Linked DNA regions of Callithrix jacchus. The protein of the gene in region 1 purifies or fractionates together with the protein of each later gene. This does not show direct contact. Links are inferred from orthologs where the notes say so. Each region holds a gene or a part of one and is shown in the gene's direction. Other genes may lie near its edges.

Evidence for each region.
Region 2: the proteins of TOPBP1 (region 1) and CDC45 purify together in Homo sapiens (affinity purification with western blotting; 3 studies listed by BioGRID and IntAct, with this or other methods). This does not show direct contact. The link is inferred for Callithrix jacchus from reciprocal best matches to the Homo sapiens genes TOPBP1 and CDC45.
Region 3: the proteins of TOPBP1 (region 1) and ATR purify together in Homo sapiens (affinity purification with western blotting; 8 studies listed by BioGRID). This does not show direct contact. The link is inferred for Callithrix jacchus from reciprocal best matches to the Homo sapiens genes TOPBP1 and ATR.
Region 4: the proteins of TOPBP1 (region 1) and PLK1 purify together in Homo sapiens (affinity purification with mass spectrometry; 3 studies listed by BioGRID and IntAct, counting the BioPlex papers as one, with this or other methods). This does not show direct contact. The link is inferred for Callithrix jacchus from reciprocal best matches to the Homo sapiens genes TOPBP1 and PLK1.
Region 5: the proteins of TOPBP1 (region 1) and SIRT1 purify together in Homo sapiens (affinity purification with western blotting; 3 studies listed by BioGRID, with this or other methods). This does not show direct contact. The link is inferred for Callithrix jacchus from reciprocal best matches to the Homo sapiens genes TOPBP1 and SIRT1.

Annotation. Positions count from the first base shown.
Region 1 is NC_133518.1:50,499,207-50,505,224, forward strand, and holds part of TOPBP1 (DNA topoisomerase 2-binding protein 1), read left to right. Parts: intron 1-379; coding exon 380-561; intron 562-1,760; coding exon 1,761-1,957; intron 1,958-3,941; coding exon 3,942-4,121; intron 4,122-4,899; coding exon 4,900-5,066; intron 5,067-6,018. UniProt on the Homo sapiens protein: Scaffold protein that acts as a key protein-protein adapter in DNA replication and DNA repair. Composed of multiple BRCT domains, which specifically recognize and bind phosphorylated proteins, bringing proteins together into functional combinations.
Region 2 is NC_133502.1:211,172,920-211,178,937, forward strand, and holds part of CDC45 (cell division control protein 45 homolog), read left to right. Parts: intron 1-918; coding exon 919-1,056; intron 1,057-2,747; coding exon 2,748-2,879; intron 2,880-6,018. UniProt on the Homo sapiens protein: Required for initiation of chromosomal DNA replication. Core component of CDC45-MCM-GINS (CMG) helicase, the molecular machine that unwinds template DNA during replication, and around which the replisome is built.
Region 3 is NC_133518.1:42,151,305-42,157,322, forward strand, and holds part of ATR (serine/threonine-protein kinase ATR), read left to right. Parts: intron 1-514; coding exon of another isoform or gene 515-656; exon of another isoform or gene 657-764; intron 765-3,942; coding exon 3,943-4,048; intron 4,049-5,832; exon of another isoform or gene 5,833-6,018. UniProt on the Homo sapiens protein: Serine/threonine protein kinase which activates checkpoint signaling upon genotoxic stresses such as ionizing radiation (IR), ultraviolet light (UV), or DNA replication stalling, thereby acting as a DNA damage sensor.
Region 4 is NC_133513.1:24,292,733-24,298,750, forward strand, and holds part of PLK1 (serine/threonine-protein kinase PLK1), read left to right. Parts: intron 1-3,689; coding exon 3,690-3,845; intron 3,846-4,899; coding exon 4,900-4,977; intron 4,978-5,492; coding exon 5,493-5,647; intron 5,648-5,748; coding exon 5,749-5,931; intron 5,932-6,018. UniProt on the Homo sapiens protein: Serine/threonine-protein kinase that performs several important functions throughout M phase of the cell cycle, including the regulation of centrosome maturation and spindle assembly, the removal of cohesins from chromosome arms, the inactivation of anaphase-promoting complex/cyclosome (APC/C) inhibitors, and the regulation of mitotic exit and cytokinesis.
Region 5 is NC_133513.1:62,499,589-62,505,606, reverse strand, and holds part of SIRT1 (NAD-dependent protein deacetylase sirtuin-1), read left to right. Parts: intron 1-3,090; coding exon 3,091-3,651; intron 3,652-6,018. UniProt on the Homo sapiens protein: NAD-dependent protein deacetylase that links transcriptional regulation directly to intracellular energetics and participates in the coordination of several separated cellular functions such as cell cycle, response to DNA damage, metabolism, apoptosis and autophagy.

The DNA of each region.
Region 1 (6,018 bases):
AGCCTCCGGAGTAGCTGGGACTGCAGACATGCACCACTAAGTCTGGCTAAAAATATATATTTATATATTATATAGATATAATTTATGTTGTTAAAAATACACATGTATATTAAAATATAGAGAAGCAAAGATTATATATCCTTTGTATAATAGTTTTATACACTCATTGAGTTGGAAGGGATAAATATAGGAAAATGTTTTTTAAATATAATCCGTATTTATCTTCCAAAAAATAATTTGGTTAATTATTTAACTGTAATTATGTGTGACATTTATGTATTTAAACTATCAAAAGCAAAATGTATTTTTGATATGGTGTATAAAAATGGAAGCAATATTGTTTGCATTAGTATTAATGTATTCTCTTTTTGGGCTGCAGGAAGAAGTTCATAGATATGTACACATGATGGGCGGACGAGTATACAGAGACCTTAACATATCAGTAACTCACCTTATTGCAGGAGAAGTTGGTAGCAAAAAATATTTAGTTGCTGCAAACCTGAAGAAACCTATTTTGCTTCCCTCTTGGATAAAAACACTTTGGGAGAAGTCACAAGAGAAGTAAGACATTTTTATATTTTCTAGATTTGAAAAAATGATGCATTCAATCATTTTTGGCATGCGATATACTCTTTGGATTTATTATTTAGGGAAAAAAATAGTGTCATTACTCTTCTTCTCCAGCGAAAACAGAAGAGCAGAATTTGCATGCTCTCATTACCAAGATAAAAGTTGACAGGCATTATAGAATGGGCTAAGGGGTTAGCAGTAGTTACAGAGTAAAAAATGCTTTGATGATAAAGTTCCCAGCTGTAAATGTTTCTGAAATAATAGAGAAAACCAGTTTGGCAAATCTTTAGCTTTTATGTTGTATCATCCTTCAACACCATTCCCATATATAAAGATAGAGAATAAATTAGCCATGTTGGCAGTTACATTCCTTCCCAAAGGGGGCATATGTAAGGTTTAATATAAACGTATATAAGTCATCAGCTGAGATGTGATCATTTAATCAGTGTTAACTGAGCCTGTTTTATGTATCTGACCTGAGCTAGGCATTAGATACATGTAGTAAGCAAAGCAAGGTAACGTCCCTTCCCTCATGGAGCTTAGAGCCTATTTCAAGGGGCACACTTAAATTTCCCCTGAAACTAGATAAACAACCACAAGACCAAATACCACGGAATTCTATTGGCATACGAATTGTATCAGCATTTTTCTGGGCTTGTTTTCAACACCATCCAGCAAATCCTAAATGTCTCCATGTCAGCAACTCTCATTCCCAGTGTGATTACTTCAGCACATCTGCCTAGCATGGCAACAGAATAATGACATTTTTGTTGGTATTTTGCCAAAAGTCATTGCTTTTATTTATACAGAATAATGGAAAGATTAAAAAGTTTATTTTTCTAATAGGCAACCAAAGTAACTTTGGGTTTTTAAATAGAGATTCAGATGTAGAATTTTGGAAAATATACCACTTTAACCAGCAAGGGCTTAGAGTTAAGAAAATGTATATTTTTCTCTTAAAACAGTTTTGAGAGACTGTATCTGAAATAATTACTTTGTATTAAAACCTGTTATTGAGCTAGGTGAGCAATTGGTGTTACTCTGTTTGGTGGTTCTCCTTTTTAAAAAAATGGTTATAAATCCTAAAAAAATGAGGAAAACAGTAGTGATATTTGTGATGTTGTCATTATTCTTCTAGTAAATTTAAAACTATGGTAAATGTATTCTTTTTATCCATTTGATTCCCACAGAAAAATAAGTAGATATACTGATATAAACATGGAAGATTTCAAGTGTCCTATTTTTCTTGGTTGCATAATCTGTGTGACTGGTTTAAGTGGCTTAGACCGGAAGGAAGTTCAGCAACTCACAGTTAAGCATGGAGGTCAATACATGGGACAACTGAAAATGAATGAATGTACACACCTCATTGTGCAAGAACCAAAAGGTAAAACTGTGTTTCACAAATGGACACATGAAACATTTTCTCTGTGAGTTAGTATTTTATTTTTAAAAATAGATCCTTGCTCTATTGCCCAGGCTGGAGGACAGTGGTGCAATCTCGGCTCACTGCAACCTCCGCCTCCCAGGTTCAAGCAATTCTCCCACCTCAGCCTTCCAAGTAGCTGGGGTTACAGATACCTGCCACCACACCTGGCTAATTTTTGTATTTTTAGTGGAGATGGGGTTTCACCTGTTGGCTAGGCTGGTCTCTAACTGACCTCAAGTGATCCACCTGCCTCAGCCACCCAAAGTGCTGGGATTACAGGCATGAGCCACCGTGCCCAGCCATTAGTATTTAATATTTTAAAATCTTACAGAACAGCTTTTACTTCTGACATGTCATTAATCTAGTTTGATACCGTTTTACCTAACATCTTGCAGAAGTCGTTTGGGTCACAATCTTAAACTATATGACTTTTCTCGTATTTATTCGTGTCATTTAATAAGTACTAAAAAAACCAAAACCTTTTAGTGATGTTTTATGTAAGCTTACTTTGGTATCTTTTGATTTAAAAAAAATATTCCTCACACAGTTACCAAATAATGAAAAGAAGTTTGGGTAAATAACAAGAAAACTAATAAATATAGCTAAATGGCATTTCTTTGTAATGACGAAAGGCTTGACTTAGTTTCAGTTTGACTGAATGGGCTACAAGTTATAACTGGAAGACACGCCTTGGAGAACATGAGGCAGTAAATGAAAAAGACATTACCAACCAAGAAAAATTCTTTAAAATTGTTTTTAAATTTGGTGTTCCATAACATTATTCTGGATAACTTTTTATCAGCACTCTTAAAATACACGCAAATTGATAAAAGATGAATTTTGTTAATGTTTTTGTTATTGCTATATATATGTGTACTGTGTTTTACTAAGTTTTCTAGACTGAGAAGTAATTAAGGTTAAATGGTAATTGTCCTTAAGTCAGAAGTTTGGGTATGGCCAATTGTGATAGGATGATTGTGAGTAGAGTTGATACAGCTGTTCTTTTTCTGAATCTGAAGACAGTTCACTGTTGATTATCAAGAATGCCAGAAAACCTTTCATGTGACATACAGACTTCAGTTTCTCTGTGATACTGCTTCAAAATACATTGTGTTAAAGGTTTTTAAGGTAATAAAAAGATACATATTTTTAACATAATTTATCTATTGGCTTATCTATCCTGGACTTTAAGTAGAAGCCTGTTGACATTGGAATCCCAGTGTTCAAAATTGGGATTTATTATATTACACACATTTACAATTTTCACATTATACAAGCTTGTTTAAAGGAATTAAGTGATGGAGCCTAAATGCAAACCAAAGTCCAATATTGTTACCCCACAGTTGCTCCTGTCTTCCTGCAGTTTGTATAAGAGATAAACCCCCTCACATGGCATGTGTATTTATACAACACATAGAAAATTTAATTAGGCAATAAACTAAAGTACTACTTTGCAATAAACTATGTAGCATACTGTTTAAGAGTAAGTACTGGTAACTTCAATTTGGTTGATAGGTTTTTAAAATAACCTGTTACGGCTGGGAGCCAGGAGCTGTTGCTTATGCCTGTAATCCTAGCACTTTGGGAGGCTGAGGCCGGCAGATCACAAGGTCGAGTTTGAGACTAGCCTGGCCAACATGCTGAAACCCTGTCTGTACTAAAAGTATTTAAAAATTAGCTGGGAGTGGTGACACATGCCTGTAATCCCAACTACTCAGGAGGCTGAGGCAGGAGAATCGCTTGAATCCAGGAGGCAGAAGTTGCAGTGAGCTGAGATTGTGCCACTGCACTCCAGCCTGGACAACAGAGCAAGACTCTGTCTCAAAAACAAACAAAAATTAAAATTAAGTAACCTGTTATAATCTGAATACTTCTGCAAAGATAGATTTTAATGATTTTCATTTCTCTATTTCCTCTCTTTGTTTCTTAATGAACACTGCAGGTCAGAAATATGAATGTGCCAAGAGATGGAATGTACACTGTGTGACCACGCAGTGGTTTTTTGACAGTGTTGAAAAAGGTTTTTGTCAGGATGAATCCATGTACAAGACAGAACCAAGACCAGAAGCAAAGACTATGCCCAATTCTTCAACTCCTACTGGCCAGATCAACACAATTGATAGTGAGTCTCATTGAAATTAAAATCATCATTCTAAAGACAATCGTTTCTGTATAATAATCAGTATATTAATAGGATCACTGAGATAGGGAATTTTTCTTTCTTGTTTGCTATGCTTCTAAACCTAATTGTATAGTAGTCAAATTGTATAAAAAGTTAGTACTGAACTGCTCCTAATTTTTTTTAGAATGAATAATTGCTTTCTTTTATACCCTGATGTCATGCAAAAGATGATCAAATAAATTAAGAACAATAGTAGATAGAGGCTTAAGATAAAATTTATGGACATGCATATATTAATACTTATATATATAATTTTATATATAATTTATATATTAATATTGATATAATTAATGTATATTAAATATATAATATTAATATATTTCCTTAGTTTATGATTTTGCTGCAATTGTTATAAATCATCTGTATTTGTATAAAAATTAAAACAGTTTCTATTTTGTAGGTGTCGTTTTGGCACAATGTTAAAAGTCTTTTCAAATGTGAGCTTCTTGGACCTTAAAGTCAGCAAATTCAGATTTTTATGGGAAACAAGACACTATTAAGAAAATGTGTCTTGTTTTCATTTAAATAAGATATGAGGCCTAATTAATTTCATTTTTCCTTTTTATACTTTTCCACTAAGATTTTAGTAAACATACCTGCATCTTACTTTGGAAGTTGTTTATTGCCCTTTATTTGTAAGAAAAGTTAATTCATAGACAATATGTAATTACGATTATTTTATCTCCCATAAATTTATACATGTTTTCAAAATATGTAGGTCGTACTCTTTCAGATGTCAGCAATATTTCCAACATAAATGCAAGTTGCATAAGTGAGTCGATATGTAATTCACTTAACAGCAAACTGGAGGCTACCCTTGAAAATCTGGAAAATCTGGATGTGAGTGCATTTCACGCACCTGAAGATTTATTAGATGGTTGTCGGGTACGTCCTTATTATATAATACATGTAGTAAGTGATGATATACATTAGCATTTCCTAACCCGACTCCGAAGAATCTTCAGAGTTGGGCTTGCTCCTTACTATCTATGTAAACCCTCCTCTCTAGCTAAGTAGATGCACTTACTAGACATATCCTCCTTTGGCTGTGAGAGTTGCTCTGTGAGTCATCTTCCTCTGTTATCTTTTAGAAGTTTATTTCAGTTTTTAATTATTCTCTGAACACTCCTAACTACATTAATCTTTCCATCTATTATGTTTTGAGAGCACTTAGTTTCTGAATGACTTACTGGATTTATTTATTTATTTGAAATAGGGTCTCACTCTGTCGCCCAGGCTGGAATGCAGTGGCACAATCATAGCTGACTATAACCTTAAACTCCTGGGCATCAGCCATCTCTCAGTCTCCCAAGCAGTTAGGACTACAGGCATGTGCCACCACACCTGGCTAATTTTTAAATTTTTTTGTATAGACAAGGTCTTACTGTGTTTCCCAGGTTTGGACTTTTATTAATAACTATCATTTAAGTATTTACAGTGTATTAGACACCATCCTAATAATTTTATGTATGTTAATATGTTATATATAATCTCATTTAATTCCCACAAATAACTCTGAAGTGGATATTATCTTGAGGGTAAGACTCAGTTAAAATTCTTGTTCAGAGTCACACAGAGAGACACATTAAGTAGCCAGTCATCTACCTCAAAGTTCATATTCCTCACCATTAGAGCCACTGCTTTGTTTGGTATTTTGTGGGTTATTTTAATTTTTTAGTATGTGAATAACTGTCTTGTAAGTTTATTGATGGAAACATCATATGCTGTGCTTTTTCAGCTGTCTTAGATTGGAATTCTTAACGTATTCCTATTTGTAGAATGACTTGGCTCTGCATTCGTTTTCAGAGTAGCAAAAATGTAACCCTACCTTATTGTT
Region 2 (6,018 bases), on another chromosome or scaffold:
TAATTTATTTTGGGACGGCCTTCTGGGTTCAAGCGATTCTCCTGCCTCAGCCTCCTAAGTAGCTGGGATTACAGGAGCCCACAACCACACCTGGCTAATTTTTGTATTTTTAGTAGAGATGGGGTTTCAGCACTTTGGTCAGGCTGGTCTTGAACTCCTGACCTCAAGTGATCCGCCTGCCTTGGCCTCCCAAAGTGCTGGGATTAGTTAAAATTACTTTAGAATACACTACTGTCTTACATTATTTCTCCAATGCATCCTGGTTTCCAACTTGAAATCCAGGAATGAATTTAAATAATAGAGGCCAGTATTCCTCGCACCTCTGCATGGGGCCAAATGAGAGATGGGACATTGTGGACTCCACAGATAGGGGATGGAACATGGAAGAGGGTCCCTGGAGTGCCTAGCCATATCTAGGATTATTTAGGCAGAGACAAATCTTTTTCTGGTGTTCCTGTCATCATGTCAAGGACCCATACCAGTTTGGTATTTATAAGGAAAGAACATGGTATACTAGTGATAGAGTGTGATAAAGGACTTAATTAAGTACCCATAAAGTATTTGCTAAAAACTTAAACCTGTACAATGTCATTAGCCTGGAGAGGCACACAGCACTGTACTATGAGGTCTGAAGAGAAACAACCATGTTCTGAAAGTCTTGGTCTGCTCCTCTTGGGCTTCTTGAGCTTGTCCATGAAATTTGGGCCTGCTGAGTCTCAGTGTGCTCCTGGGGAAAGTTGGGAGCCACAGTGTCACCATGCTAAAGCACTTAGCCATTTTTGGAGTCCCTTGCCATGTGGTCCTCACCACATATCAGGGACTTAGTGAGTTTCAGCAGAACAACTCAGAGGCTTAGTGCAATGAAGGGAAAGGGGCCTCCTTGGTACAGCTACTTTACAATATCTTCCTTTTTTTCAGTTTCGTTACTTTATTCTCATAAACTGCGGAGCTAATGTAGACCTACTGGATATCCTTCAACCTGATGAAGACACTGTATTCTTTGTGTGTGACACCCATAGGCCAGTCAATGTCGTGAATGTGTACAACGACACCCAGGTACTTTTCGTGATCTGCCCTCAAACTGTCTGTACCTTTTATCCATCTATAATGTCTCACCTGGTGTTCTTGGTAAGGTGTATGTATTACTACTCTATGGGAGTGGGAACCAAAGTACTTGGTCTTTGTCATCTTTTTTTTAAGAGATAGGCTGGAGTACAGTGGCACAATCATGGCTCACTGTCATCTCAAACCCCTGGGTTCAAGTGATCCTTCTGCCTCAGCCTCCTTAGTAGGTGGGACGACAGGCACATGTCACCACACCCAGCAAAAATTTGTTTTTATTTTTTTTTGAAATGGAGTCTTGGTCAGGAACAGTTGCTCACGCCCGTAATCCCAGCACTTTGGGAGGCTGAGACAGGTGGATCACTTGAGGTCGGGAGTTCAAGACCAGCCTGACCAAATGGCAAAACCCTATCTGTACTAAAAATACAAAAAATTAGCCGGGCATAGTGGTATGCGCCTGTAATCCAGGCTACTCGGGAAACTGAGGCAAGAGAATTGCTCAAACCCAGGAGGTGGAGGTTGTAGTGAGCTGAGATTGCACCACTGCACTCCAGCCTGGGCAACAGAGCAAAACTCTGTCTCAAAAAAAAAGAGAAAGAGAGAAATTCAATCTTGCTGTGTGGTCAGGCTGGCCTTGCACTCCTGGCCTTAAGAGATTCTCCCACCTTGACTTCCCAAAGTACTGGGATTACAGGCATGAGCCACTGTGTCCAACCATGATTTTGTTCATCTTTAACAAGAGATGTGGCACCTAGCCCTTGGAGTTGCTCAGAATGCATTTGTGGAATTGACTTGACTTGGGAGGTATGGGACCAGAACCCTGTAACCTAGAATGGCTCTACTGTGCTTACTCTTTGAACCCTTGAGCAGCAAGCATACCGTTTGAAGGTATACCTAAGCATTCTCTGACTTGATCTCCCACCCACAGGGTGTTGGGCTCCCAAATTCTTATATCAGGAACCTCTCCCAGAAAAATCAGCCTGGAGGCCAGGTGCGGTTACTCACACCTGTAATCCCAGCACTTTGGGAGGCCAAGGCAGGCAGATCACTTGAGTGGGAGTTTGAGACCAGCCTGGCCAACATGGCGTAACCCATTTTTACTAAAAGTAGAAAAATTAGCTGGGTGTGGTGGCATACACTTGTAATCCTAGCTATTTGGGAGACTAAGGCAGGAGAATCACTTGAACACGGGAGGCAGAGGCTGCAGTGAGCTGAGATTGTGCCACTACACTCCAGCCTGGGTGACAGAGCAAGAGTCAGTCTTGAAAGAAAAAAAATAAAGAAAAATCAGCCTGGAATTAGTTTTAGGTAAGAGTTTTATTGACTTATGGGTTATACATATTCATGTCCTTTATCAGAGGCCAACTTGTGGGGTATTCATTTTATTGCTGTATGGCATAAGAGGATGCTGTGTTTCCAGACTTATATAGACTAGACGGTTTTCAAAGAACTGTTTTCAGATTTTCATAATTTCTGCATACCACATATGGTGTAACTCTGGTGCCTCACTGGTAACGAAAACAAGAAAATTCCTAAGAAATCTGGAACTCTTGTTAAATAGGTAGCTATTTGTATGTACAGGAAACTGAGTCAGCTTATTAGGAAATAAGATTCTGCAAAAGAACATATTGTATAGTTTTCCGTAGAAAGAGGAGAGACTTAATTCCTGTTTGTTTTGAACTCAGATCAAATTACTCATTAAACAAGATGATGACCTTGAAGTTCCTGCCTATGACGACATCTTCAGGGATGAAGAGGATTCAGGAAGTGACAGTGATGGGTCAGAGCCTTCTGAGAAGCGCACACGGTTAGAAGAGGTGTGTTTGGGTCTCTTCCAGCATCCTGGAGGAACATACACTTCCAGAAGTCAGAGGTCATCCTGAAGCCTGCCAGGCCCAGGTGTAACTGAGGGCAGCGAGAATTGGAGAAGTTAGCAGGCATGGATGCTGACCCTGGGCTCTGCTGTCCCCTGGCTGTGTGGCCTCAGGCAGGAGTGGCTTATCTGTTCAATAGGATGCTCTCAGATGAAATGAAATTTAGGACAGCTCAGCTCTGCAGCTAAATAGCAAAAAAAATGATGTAGAGAAACAATTAATAGTACAACCCCTCCCTTCCTTTTCTACTGTCTTCTAGCATCACTCACTGCAGTCACTGCAGAGGAGCAATGTGGGTCTGCATCCTTTGGCCAGACCCAGTCCCAGACAATTACTCCAGGGGAGGCATCCTGTATGTGATGATAGGAGTAGTTTTTACCATGTGGACCTTGGGTCTGAGCTGCTTAGTGATCTGAGGCAGGGGTCAGTTGCCTACCCAACGCTACAGCTTCTGCTAGATGTAAAATGACAGGCGGGAGGTGGTTGTTCCTATAACACGGAGGGCCATGTGATGCCTTTGAAGATGCCCTCTGGCTCCTGATCATTGGTGTGTGACCTAGAATTTGCCCCCAGAATGTTCTAGGGTCTACCCTTCATCCTCAGCCTGACATTTCCCAGTAATGTGCTTTCGGGAAGCCTTTTTGAGCCATATTTGAGACATTCAGGACGTTCTCCATTTGGCAAAGGGGCAGTCCCCTTCAAAGTGAGGCATGCTGCTCTCTTCTTTCTCACCTTTGTCACCCCTTTCACTAGGTTTGGTGTCTCATAGGGAACTTCTTGGACCCACTGTAGGATTTTCTTACCTCTTGCCCAGCTCTTTGTTCTATTTTTTGGTCTTTATTTTTTTATTTTTATTTTTTTCCATACAGGGTCTCTCTATGTTGCCCAGGCTGGCCTCAAACTAATGGGCTCACTCGATCTTCCCACTTCAGCCTCCCAAGTAGCTAAGACTATAAGCACACGCCACTACACCTCGCCCAGTCTTTATCTTCTAATCTTTGATTTATGGGAGGTCTTTTTTGTTCTCTGAATGCTTTTTTTATAGCATTCTTTTAACTATTGATGAGCTGCATTTCATTTGTTCCCAAATGTCAATATCTAATGGGATTTTCCATGGAAACATTGATGTTCTACAGATAATTCTTGGAATTTTCCACTCTGACTAATAAGCAAATATTTTTTCAGCACTTACTATGTACCAGGTACCAGTTAGACCCCAGGGTACAGGGATGAGAGCAAAGTCCTGCCTTTGCAAAACTTCCCAGCTGGGGAGACAGATACTGATGATGCAAATGAGCACAATTAGGGAACCAAACATGAATGGGCAGGGGATGGAGCCAGGAGGATTCTTGGGCAGAGCATCCATAGACACTGTGGCTCTGAGGTGAGAAGGAAAGTTTCAAGGCAGGTTCGGCCGGCAGTGCCAAAGAAACAAGCAGATGAAAACAGACCAGCGGGTTTGGCAACAAGGAGAGGGTAGGTTATCTTCAAAAGAAAATATCAGCGCTTCTATTTACACAGTTAATACATTAATTTAGAATCTGTTTGTAAATTTAACATAATATTAATGGGATATAATACACATAATTTCCCAACAACTTTTTATTTGCGGCAGGAGTATTAATTAAGCCCAGAAATTTAAGCAGCCTGGGCAACAGGAAAAGACCCTGTCTCAAAAAAAAAACAAAGTTTTTCACATTTGCCACATTTGCTTTCTCTCTACGTATTCTTTTTTCTGTATCATTTGAGAATAAGTTGCAGAAACTATGATACTCTTTTTTTTTTTTTTTAAGAATTCTCATCTGAATTTTTTTTCTTTTTCTTTTTTTTTTTTAGAATGATATTCTTTCTTATTTTTAATTTTACTTTTTTTTGAGATGGTGTCTCACTCTCGCTGAGGCTGGAGTACAGTGGCATGATCTTGGCTCCCTGCAACCTCTATTCTGGGTCCCAGCAATTCTCCTGCCTCAGCCTCCCGCGTAGCTGGGATTATAGGCATGCGCCACCTCACCCAGCCAGAAACTATGATATTCTACACATTCTTTCATAAGCAGCTCCTAAGAATAAGGACATTCTTCCTCATAAATACAATGCCATTGTCATACATAAGAGATGAATAATGTCATAATATGTAATATTCCGCCCATATTCAGGTCTCTTTAATTGTTCTCAAAATATATTTTGCAGCTATTTTTATTTCTGAACTATCCTCCAGTTAAGGTTGACACATTTAGCTATTTCTTTTTCCTATCTTAACCTAGAGCAGCACCTTACCTCTTTTTTTTTCTTTTGAATGTTTTTAATGATATTGGAAGCCGGTCCTCTTTTCTAATACTTACTACTTGTTTCTTCATGGAGTACTTTAACTTGCTTCTCTATCCCTGCATTTTCTGTAATCTGTAAATTAGGTCTAGAGCCTTGATTGTAATAACATTAAGCATTTTTGAGAAAAGTACTTTTTATATGATTAAAACCTGTACTTGACTGATAACTAAGTATGTGTATATTAGAAGTATATTCTTAGAAATATTTTTACCAGCCTGGCGTGGTGGCTCACACCTGTAATCCCAGCACTTTTGGAGGCCAAGGCAGCTGGATCATCTGAGGTCAGGAGTTCAAGACCATCCTGGCCAACCATGGCCAACATGGTGAAATTGGTCTCCACTAAAAATATAAAAATGAGCCAGGCACAGTAGCACGTGCCTGTAATCCCAGCTTCTCAAGAGGCTAAGACAGGAGAATCACTTGAACCCAGGAGTCAGAGATTGCAGTGAGCCGAGATTGCGCCACTGTACTCCAGCCTGGGCGACAGAGCAATACTCCATCTCAAAAAAAAAAGAAAACTATTTTTACCAGACTGGACAACCTAGCAAGACACTGCCTCTCCAAAAAAAAATAAAAATTAGCCAGGCATGGTGGCACAGTCCTATAGGCCCAGCTATTTTAGGAGGCTTGAGTGGAAGGATACCTTGTGCCTAAGAAGTTGGTTGAGGCTGCAGTGAGCCATGATTACATCACTGTACTCTAGCCTGGACAACAGAGCAGGTCCTCATCTCTTAAAAAAAAAGAAAAATATTTTTAT
Region 3 (6,018 bases), about 8.3 Mb from region 1:
TGAACTCCTGACCTTGTGATCCACCCACCTTGGCCTCCCAGAGTGCTGGGATTACAGGCATGAGCCACCACACCCAGCCATATGTGGCCTTTCATGTCTGTCTTGTTTCACTTAATGTAATGTTTTTGGTGTTCAACATGTATCAGTACTGTATTTTTTATTGCCAAATGGTATCCAGTTATATGGATATACTACATTTTCTTTTACTGTTCATCAGTTAATTGACATTTGGATTGTTTTCCCCTTTTGTATTGTCTTGTAAATAGCATGGCTGTGAACATTGTGTACAAGTTTTATGTGGACATATGTTTTCAGTTCTCTTGTATATACTTGGGAGTGGAATTGCTGGGTCTTATGTTAAATGCTACACTTAAGATTTTGAAGAACTCTCAAATTATTTTCCAAAGCTGTTATAACACTTTATAATACCAATAGTAATGCATGTGGGTTTCAATTTCTCTGCATCTTTTCCAACACTGGTTATTGTCTGCCTTTTTTATTTTACCCATTCTAGGAGTGTCAAGTTATATCTCATTGTGGTTTTAATTTGCATTTCCCTAATGACCAATGATGGTGAGCAGCTTTTCATGTGCTTTTTGGCCATTTGTAGATCATCTTTGGACAAATGTCTATGGAAATCCTTTGCCCACTTTTAAATTGGGTTGTCTTTTATTCTCTTTTTTTTTTCTTTAAGACAGGGTCTTGACCTGTCACCCAGGCTGGAGTGTAGTGGTGCAATCTCAGCTCACTGCAACCTATGCCTCCTGGATTCAAGTGATTCTCATGCCTCAGTTTCCTAAGCAGCGGGGACAGCAGGAATGTGTGTGCCACCAACGTCTGGCTAATTCTTGCATTTTTAGTAGAGACTGGGTTTTACCATGTTGGCCAGTCTGGTCTCTTCAACTCCTGACGTCAAGTGATCCACCTACCTTGGCCTCTCAAAGTCCTGGGATTATAGGCATGAGCCACCATGCCTGGCCTATTCTTAAGCTGCAAAAGTTCTTTTTTTTTCTGGGGTTTTTTTTTTTTTTTTTTTGAGACAGAGTCTCGCTTTGTTGCCCAGGATGGAGTGCAGTAACACAATCTCCACTCACTGCAACCTCTGCTTCCTGGGATCAAACAATTCTCCTGCCTCAGCCTCTCCAATAGCTGGGACTACAGGTATGTACCACCACACCTGGCTAATTTTTGTATTTTTAGTAGAGAAAGGGTTTCGCCATGTTGCCCAGACTGGTCTCAAACTCATGAGTTCAAGCCATCCACTCTCCTCAGCTTCCCAAAGTGCTGGGATTACAGGAGTGAGCCACCCCACCTGGCCAAGTTGCAAGGCTTCTTACACATTTTGGATATAAGACCCTTCTTAGATATAATTTTCAAATATTTTCTTCCATCTGTGGGTGGTCTCTTCACTTTCTTTGATGATGGCCTTTGAAACATAAGTTTTAAATTTTGATGCAGTCTAATTTGGTTTTCTTTGTTTTTTTCTTTTTATTCTGGTTATTTTGGTGTTTCTGGTGTCATAGCTAAGAAACTATTCCCTAATCCAAAGTCATGAAGATTTGCACCTATGTGTTCTTCTAAGGATTTTCAACTTTTAGCTCTGCTATTTAGATCTTTTATCTGTCTTCGGTTATTTTGTATATATGGTGTATATATTCATTCTTTTGCATGTGCATATCCATTTGACCTAGAACCATTTTTTGAAAAGAATATTTTCCCCCTCATTTAATTATCTTGGCTTTTTTGTTGAAATTGTCAATTGATTTTCAGCAATATTCCATTGACTTATATGCCTAACCTATGCTAACAACATACTGTTTTGCTTACTATACGTTTATAGTAAATTTTGAAATCAGAAAGTGTGAGTAACTCCATTTTAACAAATGCAGCAATTCACTTCTTACTAATATTAGTTGAAACTGCAAAGCTCCAACTTTGCTTCCCTGTCCCCCCAAGATCATTTAGCTATTATGGTTCTCTTATATTTCCATATGAATTTTTAAATGAGCTTGGATTTTGATAGAAATTACATTGAATTTGTAAATCAATTAGGGAGTATTGCTGTCTTAACAATCAATATTAAGTTATCTGATCGATGAACATGGACTTTTTTTAAATTTATTTGCATCTTCTTTATTTTTTTCATAAATGTTTTGTGGTTTTTAGGGCCAAGTCTTATGTTTAACTTATAAAAACTGTATTCCTAAGTATTTTATTCCTTTTGATTTTATTATAAATGGAATTTTCTTAATTTCATTTTTGGATTGTTCATTGCTAGTGTATAGCTATACAACTGATATTTATATATTGATATCATATCTTGCAGTCTGCTGAATTCATGTATTAGTTCTAATAATTATTTTTGTGGCTTCCTTAAGATTTTCTCTCTGCAACAACATGTCATCTGCAGATATGGTTTTACTTTTTCCTTTCTGCCATCAATGCCTTTTATTTCTTTTTTTTGCCTACTTGCCCTAGCTAAATCAATGTCGAATAGACATGCTAAAAGTGGACATCTTCATCTTGTTCCTGATCATAGAGCAGTCAGTCTTTGACCTTTAAGTATGATGTTAACTGTGGGAAACAGATTTCTTGAAAGAAACTTTAAAGCTTATTTATTCACCTTCTTTATTTAAAAGCTGTCTATTGGACATTATGATAGAGTACTGGTTAGTTGGACATAGGCAAAAGCAAATTATCTGAAATAGGAAGTATATCATCATGTGGAACAGTTACCAAGAGCCCCTGTGTTAGTCTGGGGAAGTTGAACTTAAAGTATAATAATAATTAAGTTAAATTAAATAAATTTTTAGAAAAGAACTAATTTATAGAGGAAGTAGTTGAGACCTTAAAGGTAAATAAAATTGACCATGCAAGGGAGAAGAAAGTGTTCTAAGTGATAAAAAATATTGAGGCAAGTGAAGTCATGGCCTGCCTGAGAAATACAGTATGTATTCCAGAGGGTTAACTTCCAGGAGGTGTTGCTCAGAGATGATGCTGGACAGGTAAGCAGGGGCTAGATTATGAAGGTCTTGTGTGGGGCCTGTTATTACATTATAACTTTGCCTGGAGAGCGGCCAGAAGTCATTGAAGGATTTTAAGAAGGAAAAAAAACGGGGCGGGGGTGAAATGAGACAATCTGATTTGTACTGTAGGAAAAACTAGGGTTCTAGTTGGGGCTAACAGCTGGAAAACTAGTTAGAGGTTTATTGCCGTAACCCAGGAAAAGATAATGGTATACTGGACAGTGTCATGGCAGTAGAGACACAGGTAAGTGAAGAGATTCCAAAGAGATTTAGGAAGAGAAATTGGATGTTATAGGAAGAGGGGACAAGGATGATTCCTAGATTGTTGTCTAGGGCAAATGGGCAGATGCTGATGATCTTTAGTGATTTGGGGAATACAGGAGAAATAGTTGGGAAAAGGTAATGAATTTTATTTTGGAGATACTGAGTTTGAGGTGCTCAGAACATATCCAACTGGGTATTTCCCATAGGTAAGTGGATTTGATGTTTAGAGTACAGAAAAAAAGGTCTGGGTTAGGTCTGTATGGTAGCTATAGATGTTATATGGTTATTGAAGACATGGTAAGGATTAAACTCCTTCATTCAATATATAGTCATGTACCAGTTCACAAGATACACTTCGAGATGGCACACAGAACTCAACTTACTCTGTTCTCCTCTGACTGTCCTCTCTCTCATCTTTTTGACAATGCAAGGGAGAAGAGAGTGTTCCCTTGCATTTGACAATGCAAGGGAAGGATTCTGCCTTCCTTCCCCTCACACCAAAACAGAAATTTCACATAACTTAGTGAAAAGGTAGTAATGTGTATTAAAAGAGTATTACCATTAGCTCCTAATCCGCCACTTAAATATTGATGTTAGCAGGATTTTTTCTTGTAAAGATAACATTGTACCATAATATTTATTTCAATTTTAGTGTCTTAAAGACTTTTCTGCATGATCCTCTTGTGGAGTGGAGTAAACCAGTGAAAGGACATTCCAAAGCATCACTGAATGAAACTGGAGAAGTTGTCAACGAAAAGGTTAGTAGAAAATGTAGCTTGATATGGGCTGTAGTCTTCATCTCTACAAATGAACTCGATATGTAGCTATAGTTCTCATCTCTGTGCATGAGAACTGCTTGGAAATACTGTTAATGACTATTGCTTACTCTGAAATCTAGTTCTCTAGTGTCACAAAGCTATAAGTGTTCTTTATTGTCAACAGTGTTAACATTATTAACATTTGTATAATAAAACAGTTCATGGCACACTTGTTTAACCATAGACAATTCACAGTTATGAGATACAGTAGGAAAAACAAATATAAATTGCGTGAACTTAACAGAACAACCGGTCTGAGCTTTAATACCATGATACCAGTGTGTCACAAGCCATCTTAACAAATGCAGCAATTCACTTCTTACTAATATTAGTTGAAGCTGCAAAGTTTGCAGATAGCTTTGTTGTTGTTTTTGAGACAGAGTCTTGCTCTGTCATTCAAGCTGCAGTGCAGCAGCATGATCTTGGCTTACTGCAACTTCTGCCTCTCAGGTTCAAGCAATTCTCCTGCCTTAGCCTCCCGAGTAGCTGAGATTACAAGCGTGTACCACCACAGCTGGCTACTTATATTTTTAGTGAAGATGGGCTTTTACCATGTTGGCCAAACTGGTGTTAAATCCCTGAACTCAAGTGATCTAGCCCCCTTGGCTTCCCAAAATGCTGAGAGTATAAACATAAGCCACTGCACCTGGCCCAGATGGTTATTTTTAATAAGTTAGAATAGATGGAGGATTATTTTGGGGCAGGCACTCTTACATCTTTAATAAGTCTTGTATAGGCTTACTAAATACAATTAAGAATTATACTGACTATACCCTAATAAAGATTAAAAATTTACATTCCAGGTAACTACCTTAAGAGTTTAAGTCTACTTTCATCCTACTGATACAGCCTGAGGAAGATTAGACACATACGCCCCCATCCTTCATGTCAACCTTAACCCTTTTGTCTTGAAAAAGGAGGTTTAACTGCTTTTTTAGTTCTTCAATTTCTTTTTCTTGCTCTATTATCTTTATCTGTAGGGTGATATTAATATTTCCAGAATTTTGGAAATACTTGGAAAGTTCACTCTGTAGCAGTTAAATAGCAGATGGTTTCTGGGACATGTTCCTTTTCGTTAAGTTCTAGATACAATTGGCTTATACTGGATACCTTTTACTGAAGGATTCCAGTATTTGACCAGTTCTTGAACCTGTTAAAACTTCTGCTTGCTCCATTTCTATTCTAAACAGCTGAAAGAGCTCCAGTAGGATCACAGTCAACCTATACATATCTAACTGGACAGAGCAAGCCCTGGTCTCTACAAATCGTTTGTTTGTTTTTAATTAGCCAAGCTCAGTGGCACACTCCTGTAGTCCCAGCTACTTGGGAGGCTGAGGTGGGAGGATCACTTGAGCCCAGAAGTTGGAGGCTGCTATGAGCTATGATGACACCACTGCACTCCACCCTGGGCAATGGAGTGAGACCCTTGGCATCATACTCAGATGCTTCCAACTGTTTGGATGAAGCTTACAGACAAGTGTCCGCTCTGGATATGTGTTGGTGCTCTCTTTCCATATCTGTGGGTCCAGTCTGTGTTCCTTTTTAAGATGTTTGGGCAGGCCAGACCAAAGTCTCTTATTTTTACTTGCTGATGAGAGCCATGAAGAAAAATATTTCTAGGCTTCTCGTATCTGTTTACAGTTCCCATGTTACATATGTAAAACACACCTTCCACTAATTTTTTTTTTTTTTTGAGATGGAGTTTTGCTCTTGTTACCCAGGCTGCAGTGCAATGGCACGATCTCGGCTCACCGCAACCTCCGCCTCCTGGGTTCAGGCAATTCTCCTGCCTTAGCCTCCTGAGTAGCTGGGATTACAGGCATGCGCCACCATGCCCAGCTGATTTTTTGTATTTTTAGTAGAGACAGGGTTGCACCATATTGACCAGGATGGTCTCGATCTCTTGACCT
Region 4 (6,018 bases), on another chromosome or scaffold:
CGATCCTCCTACCTCCGCCTCCCAGTGTTGGGATTACAGGCATGAGCTGCTATGCCAGGCCTTTAAAAATATTTCTAACACTTTTACATGGTTCATTGAAAAAAATTTCCTTTTTTTTTTAGAGATAGGGTCTGGCTCTGTCCCCCAGGCTAGAGTGCAGTGGTGTGATCTCGACTCACTGCAACTTCTGCTTCCCAGGCTCAAGCCATCCTCCCATCTCAGCCTCTCAAGTAGCTGGGACTACAGGCATGTGCCACCATGCCCGGCTAATTTTTTGTATTTTTAGTAGAGATAGGGTTTTGCCACATTGCCCAGGCTGTTCTTGAACTCCTGAGCTCAAGTAATCTGCCCGCCTCAGCCTCCCAACATGCCGGGATTACAGGTGTGAGCCACTGCGCCCAGCCAGCATGAAAATTTTCAAGTACACGTATAGAGCATAATGTAATAGATCCCCTCATACTTACTAGATTCAGTAATTAGTTATCAGGATTTTGTCAAGTTTGCTTCATTTATTTATTTTTGTCCTTTGAAGTCTTTTTTAAAGTTAACCTTGGCTCTCTGCCATTTTACACCTATATAAACTTCAGAATGCTTCTCTTAAAAAAGATGAACGTTCTCTTAAAAATCAAAAAACCGCATGCCATTGCTTAGGTTGTCATTGCTTCTAGGTCTCTTCAGAGAACAGAATTAGGAACTGCATTTATAGCAGTGGGGGAAGACTGACATTGAGTCTGTGATGATATTTCCTAATCACACATTTTTAAACAATTTATTCTGATATTTTTGCAAGCTTATGAAAAAGGTAGCATAGATCAAAAATGCACTCCTATTCTCCCCTTTTGCCCAGATTCACCAGTTAGCACTTTTTTCCACATTTGTTTTATCAATTACTCTCTTTTTTTCTGAACATCGAAAAGTTATATATGTCCTACACTTCACCCTTAGTGCTTCAGTGTATGCTTCCTAAAAACAGATTCTTTTACCTAAGGATAGTACATGGCACAGTTCCCAAGTTCAGGAAATTTAACATTGATACATATGTCTTATAGCCGATCTTCTCTACTGGGAAGTTACTGCTTTTGGTAACTTTTAAGTGTCTGATTTAGACACGATGTTAATCTGTTTTTACTTCTTTGGTTTATACTTGCATTTCTTTTCTCTTAAACTGAAAATCTTGTTTCCTTATACATTAATATACTTAAAATTTTCAACATCTATGAATTCCTGTTAAATGGTATTTATTTTCTTGCAATCCTAATTGTCCTTAAAGTATATTTCACTAAGGATATATAGTTTTAAAAAGTCACTTAAAATACTTTTTTTTCTCTATGGATATATCACCCATTTGATGTACAACTTAAGTTCATTTTTCAGTTTTCAATTTTTAGGTATTGGTTTTTCTTAAACTTCATTTTGGAATTATTTTAGGCTTATATAGAAAAGTTGCAACAACAAAAAGATCCCCAGAGTTTCCATATACCTTTCAGAAATTATTACAGTGGAATTTTTTTTTGAGATGGTTCTTAGAACTTGCTGTCACCCAGGCTGGAATGCAGTGGCTCAATCATAAGTCACTTCAGCCTCAACATCCTGGGCTCAAACAGTCCTCCTGCCTCAGCTTCCAGAGTAACTAGGACTATAGGTATGGGTCACTATACCCAGCTAATTTAAATTTTTTTTTTCTTTGGGAGGCCAAGGTGGACAGATTGCCTAAGCTCAGGAGTTCGAGATCAGCCTGAACAACATGGCAAAACCCTGCTTCTACTAATAATACAAAAAATTATCCAGGTGTGGAGGTGCACGCCTGTAATCTCAGCTACTTTGGGAGGCTGAGGCACAAGAATCACTTGAACCTGGGAGGTGGAGGTTGCAGTGTGCCAAGATCTCACCAGTGCACTCCAGCCTGCACGACAGAGCAAGACTGTCTCAAAAAAAAAAAAAAAAAAAAAATTTTTTTTTTGTGGAGACATGATCTCACTATGTTGACCAGGCTTGTCTCAAACTCCTGCCCTCAAGTGATCCTCCCTCGCCTCCCAAAGTGTTGGGATTACAGGTGTGAGCCACTGTGCCCTACCTACAGTGATATTCTAATGGCAATTTTTCTTTTCCTTAGTTTTTCTACATTTAATAATTGGAATTCTTCTGTAAGGAAGTGCTATTCCTTCTCTCCCATTGATTTATTTGGTTATGTCTGAAATAGACTCATGGATATTTTATTCTTTGGGCTATATTTTAAAGGATTACTTATTTCTCTCTTTTTTAAAAATTTATTTGAAACAGAGTCTTGCTCTGTCGTGCAGGCTGAAGCGCAGTGGCACAATTGTACCTCACTGTAGCTTTGACCTGAGTAGCTAGGACTTTAAGCGTGTGCCACTACATCTGACTAATTTTTAAACTTTTTGTAGAGATGAAGTCTCGCTCTGTTGCCCACGCTGGTCTTGAACTCCTGAGCTCAAGTGATCCTCCTGCCTCAGCCTCCTACTTTTTTTCTTTCAGTTTTAATTTTTCATATAGCACTTTTAAAACTTAAGGAAATTTCCAAACTTACCCAAAGGTAGAACTGTATGATGAATCCCATGTTTCATCTATTTTTACTAATTATCACCATTTGGCCAGACTTGTTTTATTTATTCCACCCTCCTGCCTTTTTTTAACTGGAATTTTGGAAATTATTTATTTATTTGAGATAGTTTTGCCTTGTTGCCCAGGCTTGAGTGCAGTAGCAAGATCATGGCTCACTGCAGCCTCAACCTCCTGTGTTCAAGTGATTCTCCCATCTCAGCTTCCCAAGTAGCTGGGACTTACAGGTATTGTGCCACCATGTCCAGTAGTTTCTGTATGTTTCGTAGAGACAGGGTTTCGCCATGTTGCTTCGGCTGGTCTCAAGCTCCTGAGCTCAAACAGTCTACCTGCCTCAGCTTCTTATTGTGCTGGGATTACAGGTGTGAGCCAACTGCCCCGGGCTTGCTGGAGTGTTTAAAGCAAATCCCTAATATCTTATTATTTCACCCCTAAGTCCCTATGATGGCATAGTGTTTTGGTTTTTTTTTTGAACAGCTCCTTGCTATATCATGGCATAGTTTTTAATTGAAAACTTCTTTAGGAAACATTTTACATTATACAAGGAGAACTAGCAAATGTTGATAGGGGAATAAACAAATAAGGAAAAAGGCAATAAAAATAATCTGTGCTTCTACTGCCCAGATATAACCAGTGTTAAAATTTCATGTATCTTTTCATGCGTTTTTTGATTATAAACATATAAAGCAAATTTTAGAGTAGAAAAAAATCTCTTGTGTTTTTATTTAAATGCCTATTGAATCCATCCTGCGGGTGAACTGAGACTACTCAGCCCTCCCATCTGCTTAGATGTGGAAGACGCTTTTAAGTCTTTGCTTGAAGCTGGGCAGCTCTGAGTTGCTGGTGGCTTCAAGCTGTTTGTCTGGGTGGCAGGTGGTATCCTCCAGGGCCACGCCGTTGGGTCACAGGCTAGAGCATCTGAAGATCTGTTGCCTCACAGTTAGCACGTGTGCCTGTCACCTGAGCATGGCAGCTCCTGCTCTATTGACCAGGCACTGACTCAGTTTCCCCTAAGCAGTGGTAGCTAAGATTTTTCTTTCAGAAAAGTTTCAGCTGTGGCAGGGAGTCCTGTGCCCTTCCCAACGCCCCTGTTTTTGTTACCCTCCTAGGCTTGGAGAACCCCCTGCCTGAGCGTCCCCGGGAAAAAGAGGAACCAGTGGTTCGAGAGACGGGTGAGGTGGTCGACTGCCACCTCAGTGATATGCTGCAGCAGCTGCATAGTGTCAATGCCTCAAAGCCCTCAGACCGTGGGCTGGTCAGGCAAGGTGGGTACTGTGGGCCCTGTGTAGGGCAGGATTGCTTGGGGCATCTGGAGAAGGCAGGAATCTTGGCCAGCAAAGCACTGGTGACTTATCCAGGCCCTGTCTCCATAGGACCATTGGTTTCCCCATTTCCTGACATCCAAGGTCCTGCATGCTGTGGCTCCTGCCTTCTTTTCTGATCCGTCTCTTACTTTAGCACCTTGATATGCCACCTTCATATGCTGTTTCTTTTGCTCAGTAAGTTCCTATTGTTTCTTCAAGACACTTGAAATAACAGGCCCAGATGGGCTGCAACCTCAGGGCTTTCACACCTATGGCTCCCTGGCCCTGTCATGAAAGCAGACACTAGCTTTCATGGCTCACACTGTGGCCTCCTTCAAGTGTCTGCTCCAGTGTCACCACTGTGAGCATCTCCCTGGCCTATCTGCTAGTGCTTCTCATCCTCTTGCCCGCTGCATAGTTCTCCATAATACTTCTCACCCAACATAGTCCAACATATCCATCTTTATTTATTGGATTTTAAATAAGGGATTTGTTGCATGCACTGAACATAATATTTTGATGTGTTTGCAACTGGCTTCTGTCTTCACAGTTTCTTAATTATTCCAAACTGGAAAACTAGATAATATCGTCCTCTGACTCTTACCATAATAGAAGTCACTGACATTTTGCCCATACTTAATTTGATTAGTCTTTGTCCCTACAGCCACAGTGTAAGCTCTGTGGAGGCTGGGGTTTTGTCTGTTGCTCACTGTACATGTGACAGTGCCTGGCAGGCATAGTAGGCCTTCAATAAATGAATCAGTCAGTGGAATGAAGGAATGAGTGGAACTTGTCGTTCTGTGCTGAGATTTTCTGTGTAGATGTCTGTGCTGCTGCTTGTCTAAGCCTGTTAGCAGTAGAGGCCCTGCTTTGCTCTTCTCTGGGACCCCAGGCCTCTCAACTCAGCCCAGGTGGAGTGCTCAGCAAGATTCCCTGTTCCCTGGTGTGGGCCACATGTGTGAACCAGAGGGGAAGAGGCTGGTCCTGACCAATTGTTTGTCTGTTTCTGTCTCAGAGGAGGCTGAGGATCCTGCCTGTATCCCCATCTTCTGGGTCAGCAAGTGGGTGGACTATTCGGACAAGTACGGCCTTGGTAGGTTTCTACTAGAACAGGTGGGTGACTCAGGTACAGCCAGGTGACCTTTCAGTTGTTACAGACTCTGGCTTTTTTGGGCTCCCAAGTTCTCTTCTTAGTGCTCTCTTCTCTCCATCCCAGGCCTCCCAGTTCCAGCTCCCAGTGCTCCCTGACTCCCCTACTTTTTTTTTTTTTTCCAGAGACAGGGTCCTGCTCTATCGCCCAGGCTGGAGTGCAGTGACGCAATCATGGCTTACTATAGCCCTCAAACTCCCAGGCTAGCTCCTGGCTTAGCCTCCTGGGTAGCTGGGACTACAGGCGCACACCACCGCACTCCACTAATTTTTAGAATTTTCTGTAGTGATGGGATCTCATTATGTTGCCCAGGCTGGTGGTCTCAAACTCCTGGGTTCAAGCAATCCTCCCACCTCAGCCTCCAAAAGTGCTGGAATCACAGGCATGTGCCGCCTCACCTGGCCCCACTCCCCACTTTCAATTCCCTCTTTCTGAGGCCTCTCTCCACCAATCTCTAGGGTATCAGCTGTGTGATAACAGTGTGGGGGTGCTTTTCAATGACTCAACACGCCTTATTCTCTACAACGATGGTGACAGCCTGCAGTATATAGAGCGTGATGGCACTGAGTCCTACCTCACCGTGAGTTCCCATCCCAACTCTTTGATGAAGAAGGTGAGTGCCATCCTGCCCAGGGGGCGTGGTGTTGTGGGAGTGGGACTTGTGCTAGAGGGTCAGACTCTAATTCTAGAACCCCTCCCCTACTTTTCATCCAGATCACCCTCCTTAAATATTTCCGCAATTACATGAGTGAGCACTTGCTGAAGGCAGGTGCCAACATCACGCCACGTGAAGGTGATGAGCTTGCCCGGCTGCCCTACCTGCGGACCTGGTTCCGCACCCGCAGTGCCATCATCCTGCACCTCAGCAACGGCAGCGTGCAGATCAACTTCTTTCAGGTGAGCTGGAGGTCACCAGAGGCTGGGGTAGGCTCCGTGTGCCTGGCAGTGGCCCATGTGAGTTGAGTGCGGAGTGAGCGGCTCAGG
Region 5 (6,018 bases), on another chromosome or scaffold:
CTCTGCTTCTGTTTAAAAGAGTGGTGAAGGCCGGGGGCAGTGGCTCATGCCTATAATCCCAGCACTTTGGGAGACCGAGGCAGATGGATTAGGTCAAGAGATAGAGACCATCCTGGTCAACATGGTGAAACCCCATCTCTACTAAAAATGCAAAAATTAGCCGGGCATGATGGTGTGTGCCTGTAATCCCAGCTACTCGGGAGGCTGAAGCAGGAGAATTGCTTGAACCCAGGAGGCGGAGATTGCAGTGAGTCAAGATGGCGTCATTGCACTTCAGCCTGGCTAACAAGAGCAAAACTCCGTTTCAAAAAGAAAAAAGAGTGGTAAAGAGCTAATTTTAGAAATTGTTTATTTTTAATAGAGATGAGGTCTTGTTGTGTTGCTCAGGCTGGATTCAAACTCCTAGGCTCAAGTGGTCCTCCTGCCTTAGCCTCCCGAGTAGCTGGGATTATAGGCATGAGTCACCACATCTGGCTAAACTTTCTTTTTTAGGCGGTATTGTTCATAGAGACTGGTGAATCTGACATTTTGATGGGGGTGGAGGGTTGTCAAAACACAAGTAATGTTGATGGCTCATGCTTGTAATCTCAGCACTTTTGGAGGCCAAGGCAGACCGATTGCTTGAGGCCAGGAGTTTGAGACTGGCCTGGCCAAGATGGTGAAACCCTGTCTCTACTAAAAATGTAAACATTAAAAAAAAATAAAAATAAGAAATATATATATAAATTTATCTGGGCGGGGTGGTGCCTGCTTGTTGTCTCAGTTACTCTCTCGAGGCTGAGGCATGAGAATCGCTTGAACCCAGGAGGCAGAGGTTGCAGTGAGCTGAGATTTTGCCACTGTACTCCAGCTTGGACAACAGAAGTCCCAAAAAAACAAAACCAAAAACAAATCCACAAGTAATACCAAACTCTACTTCTAATTAATGTGAAAAATTAAGACAAAGGTAAAGAGTTTAACAGACTTTTTGGTAGAATGTGTTTTTAATGTTGCAAGGATCAGCCTCAATTTATGAAACAGTCCTTAATCCTTATATTTTTTAGTCTTAATAAGATAGTTGTTATCCTTCCAATCTAAATGATTTCACATCCAATAAATTCAAATGTATAGTTTGGTAGAAGGTAGAAGTGTAACATACCATGTGAGATGAATTTGGGGGCTCAAAATGATTGGTTCATTCTTGTAATAACAATCAGCCATGTCATAATGGTATGTTGATCTAGCAAACCTAAAAGCGGTCTGTATAAAAGTGTTCACATAAAATTTAAATCCCTATTGCTCTCAGAATAATTTCTTTCTCATATATATTCTCATACTGCCTGTTTTTCCTCTAGTGAAGAATCAGGAGAGAGAGATTTCAGTTGCATCAGATGTGTCCATTCATAAGTGAGAGAAAGAGCAGAGGAAACAGTATCAAATCCCTAGCCAGAGAATTGAATTCGACCCCACATCAGCAGTCAAGGCAGCCAGAGTAAAAGTTGGAAAAAATATGGAATCAAGCTCTTCAATTTTGTGTTTATCTCATATCTGGTGTCTTTAGCAGTTAACTCAGTCTTACCTAATTAGCTGTAAAACTGTTAAAGTAGAATAGAAGACAATTTGCAATGAAATGAAACATGAAAATTTAATATACAAGTCTCTTTGATCTTGAGTTGCTCTTTTTTTTTTTGAGATGGAGTCTTGCTCTGTTGCTAGGCTAGGCTGGTGTGCGGTGGCGCTGTCTCAGCTCACTGCAGTCTCCACCTCTGGGTTCAAGTGATTCTCCTCCCTCAGCCACCCAGGAGCTGGGATTACAGGTGCACGCCAAGACATCCAGCTAACTTTTTTTTTTTTTTTTGGTATTTTTAGTAGAGATGGGGTTTCACCATGTTGGCCTCGATCTCCTGACCTCATGACTCGCCCTGCCTCAGCCTCCCAAAGTGCTGGGATTACAGGTGTGAGCCACTGTGCCCGGCCTTGAGTTGCTTTTCTTAAAGTTAATTCAAAGGCACTCTGTTTAAAAGCTTTTTATTTTTTAGAGATCGATGTCCAGCTCAGGCTAAAGTGCAGTGGTGCAGTTACAGCTTACTGCAGCCTTGAACTCCTGGGTGCAAGGAATCCTCCCACTTCAGTTTCCTGAATAGTTAGGACTACAGGTGCACACCACGCTTGGCTAGTTTTTAAAATTTTTTGTTGAAACGGGACTCACTTTGTTGCCCAGGCTGGTCACAAACTCCTGGCCTCAAGTGATCCTTCATCTTCAGCCTCTCAGAGCATTAGGATTACAGACATGAGCTGCCACACCTGGTTCTTAAAAGCTTTTGTTTCAAAAGCTTTCTGTGGGATAGTATGGTGTGTTGCAAAGATACTTTTTTAAAAAGTGAAACAGTTTTATAATAATGTAGAATAAATTTCTATGTCTTTTCACCTTATTTATTTATTTGAGATGGAGTTTCACTCTTGTTGCCCAAGCTGGAGTGCAGTGGCATGATCTTGGCTCACTGCAACTTCCGCCTCCTGGGTTCAAGTGATTCTCCTGCCTCAGCATCCCAAGCAGCTGGGATTACAGGCATGTGCCACCATGCCCAGCTAATTTTGTATTTTTTGTAGAGACGGGGTTTCACCATGTTAGTCAGGCTGGTCTTGAACTCCTGACCTCAGATGATCTGCCTGCCTTGGCCTCCCAAAGTGCTGGGATTACAGGCGTGAGCCACCACGCCTGGCTTGCCTTCTTTATGTCAGGAACTACTAAGAACTCTTCTGTGCACTTATTAACTCATTTAATCTTCAACGACAGTCTTGTGGAAAGTACTATTAATATCCTCATTCTACAGACACGGAAATTGAGATTCAGAATAGGAAAGTCTGGGAAGATAGCTCAGGTAACTAGCTGACAGGAGCAGAACCTGAATGTTTTATAAAAGACACAACTGCTTATCTGCTTGCTTGATGAAATGTAATGGCTTGCTTAATGAAATGTAATGGCTTGCTTAAGTATTAGTGTAAGGGTCTTTTTTGGGAATTAGGAGCTCAAGCCCTTGTATCTGTTGTGGCTTTATTAGCTTACTTCCTCCTTCCTTTTTCTAACTCTTATTTTTCACCCTGTTTTAGGTTCTATACCCCATGAAGTGCCTCAGATATTAATTAATAGAGAACCTTTGCCTCATCTGCATTTTGATGTAGAGCTTCTTGGAGACTGTGATGTCATAATTAATGAATTGTGTCATAGGTTAGGTGGTGAATATGCCAAACTTTGCTGTAATCCTGTAAAGCTTTCAGAAATTACTGAAAAACCTCCACGAACACAAAAAGAGTTGGCTTATTTGTCAGAGTTGCCACCCACACCTCTTCATATTTCAGAAGACTCAAGTTCACCAGAAAGAACTTCACCACCAGATTCTTCAGTGATTGTCACACTTTTAGACCAAGCAACTAACAGTAATGTTGATGATTTAGACGTGTCTGAATCAAAAGGTTGTATGGAAGAAAAACCACAAGAAGTACAGACTTCTAGGAATGTTGAAAGTATTTCTGAACAGATGGAAAATCCGGATTTGAAGAATGTCGGTTCCAGTACTGGGGAGAAAAATGAAAGAACTTCAGTGGCTGGAACAGTGAGAAAGTGCTGGCCTAGTAGAGTGGCAAAGGAGCAGATTAGTAAGCGGCTTGATGGTAAGAAGGCAATCAACCATTTTGAAAGTATACTTGTCATAACAATATTTGCAAAAAATTAGTTATTTCAGCAGGTTAATTGATAGAGTAGCTTTATGTAGTTGATTCTGTTTGGAGAAACTGTACAGTTCATAATCAGAAAGGTAAATCTGGTATCTTACATAATATGGAGAAGGAAGTGTTTAATAGTGCTCTGTATGTTGTGTTTCTCTAGGGCATGGAAAGATAAATCAAGAATGGGTTGGTATTGAGTGCTGTGCAGTTGTCTGCTGAGAGCTTTAGCTGGCAGAAATGATGACAGATTTGAGTGCTTAGTGTGGGTCAGCTACTTTACATACGTTATGTGCTTTTAATCCTTTGAGGTAGGAACTATTAACTTTCTTCTGCAGGTGGGAAAACTGAGGACCATAGAGGTTAAATAACTTGTGCACGACTATTAAGAAGTGGAAGAGCCAGATTAAAATCTGGTCTACTTATGCTCAGAGCCTGCCCTCTTAACTACTGTGCAGTGTTGTCTCAGATCTAGAACACATCTTTGTTTTCTCTGAGGAAGTCCTAGGAGAAACCACCTTTGATTCTTCTCCACTGAATATAGGAATAGTTTCTACCTGTTTTGAACATGCATAGTCTTTATCAATAAGTGTTAATCGACATAGGTGAAATCACTTTCTACTCTTTGAAAGCTGATGTTTAAGTCCAAGTAGTCTGTGGTGGAAATTCCTGACTTAAGCTTTTTCTTTTATTTAACATTTGTAAACTTAACATTTCTTGACACTTACTGTTAAAAATATATATACACACACTGTAACTTAGATGTGTAAAAGTTTAATTTAGAAGAACTTACTCCATTTACCATACTTGGTGGAAACTGACAAATTTTAGACAAATGTATTAAGTATTCCAGTTATTTGCTGTAAATTTAGTTCAGTTGAACCTTTGGCCTTTTCCATATTAGGCACTGTGGTAAGTTCTGGAGACAGTGATTAATGTTGTGTATAATTATAAATGTGGGTGATAAATATTCATTAATACTTTGATATAGGTGCTGCTGAAGAACAAAGTACTTTATTATTATTTTGAAAATAGCATCGCCCAAAAGGTAGAAGTAGCGATTTAAAAAGATGATACAAAAAGCATAGAGGGATATGCTTATGTTTGCAAATCGTGGCAGAATGGAAAAATTGCTGCTGACTTAGGTAGTATACAGTCTCTACCATATACAAAGTCTACTTATGCACTGAAGACTTGCATCAGGAACTTGTCTTTTTTTTTATTTTCACTTTTTAAAAATAGCTTTATTGAGGTATAATTTATATACCATACAGTTTACCCACTGAAGGTTTATAATTCAATGACTTTTAGTATATTCACAGAGTCATGCATCATAATCAATTGTAGAATATTTTCATTACCCCCAAAAGAAATTTCATTCCTCTTAGCTGCCACCTGCAATTCCTTCCTCTCTTCTCTCCCACAGTCTCCCCTGCCTTAGGCAATCACTGATCCACTTCCTATCGCTATGATTTGCCTATTCTGGACTTTTTATATAAATAGAATAATATTTTCATTTTCTTCATAAACTCCTACAACCTGAAATGTAAAACTTCATGTCTTTTTTTTTTTAATTGCATTTTAGGTTTTAGGGTACATGTGAAGAACATGCAAGATTGTTGCATAGGTACACACATGGCAGTGTGATTTGCTGCCTTCCTCCTCATCACCTATATCTGGCATTTCTCCCCATGCTATCTCTCCCCAACTCCCCACTTCCCGCTGTCCCTCCCCTATTTCCCCCTGACAGACCCCAGTGTGTGATGCTCCCCTGCCTGTGTCCATGTGTTCTCATTGTTCAGTACCCACCTATGAGTGAGAAACACACGGTGTTAGATTTTCTGTTCTTATGTCAGTTTGCTGAGAATGATGGTCTCCAGGTTCATCCATGTCCCTACAGAGGACAAAAACTCATCGTTTTTTATGGCTGCTAGTGTTCCATGGTGTATATGTGCAACATTTTCCCTGTCCAGTCTATCATTGATGGGCATTTGGATTGGTTCCAGGTCTTTGCTATTGTAAACTGTGCTGCAGTGAACATTCGTGTGCATGTGTCCTTATAGTAGAACAATTTATAATCCTTTGGATATATACCCAGAAATGGGATTGCAGGGTCAAATGGAATTTCTATTTCTAGGTCTTTGAGGAATTGCCACACTGTCTTCCACAATGGTTGGACTAATTTACACTCCCACCAGCAGTGTAAAAGTGTTCCTATTTCTCCACATCCTCTCCAGCATCTGTTGTCTCCAGATTTTTTAATGATCGCCATTCTAATTGGCGTGAAATGGTATCTCAGTGTAGTTTTGATTTGCA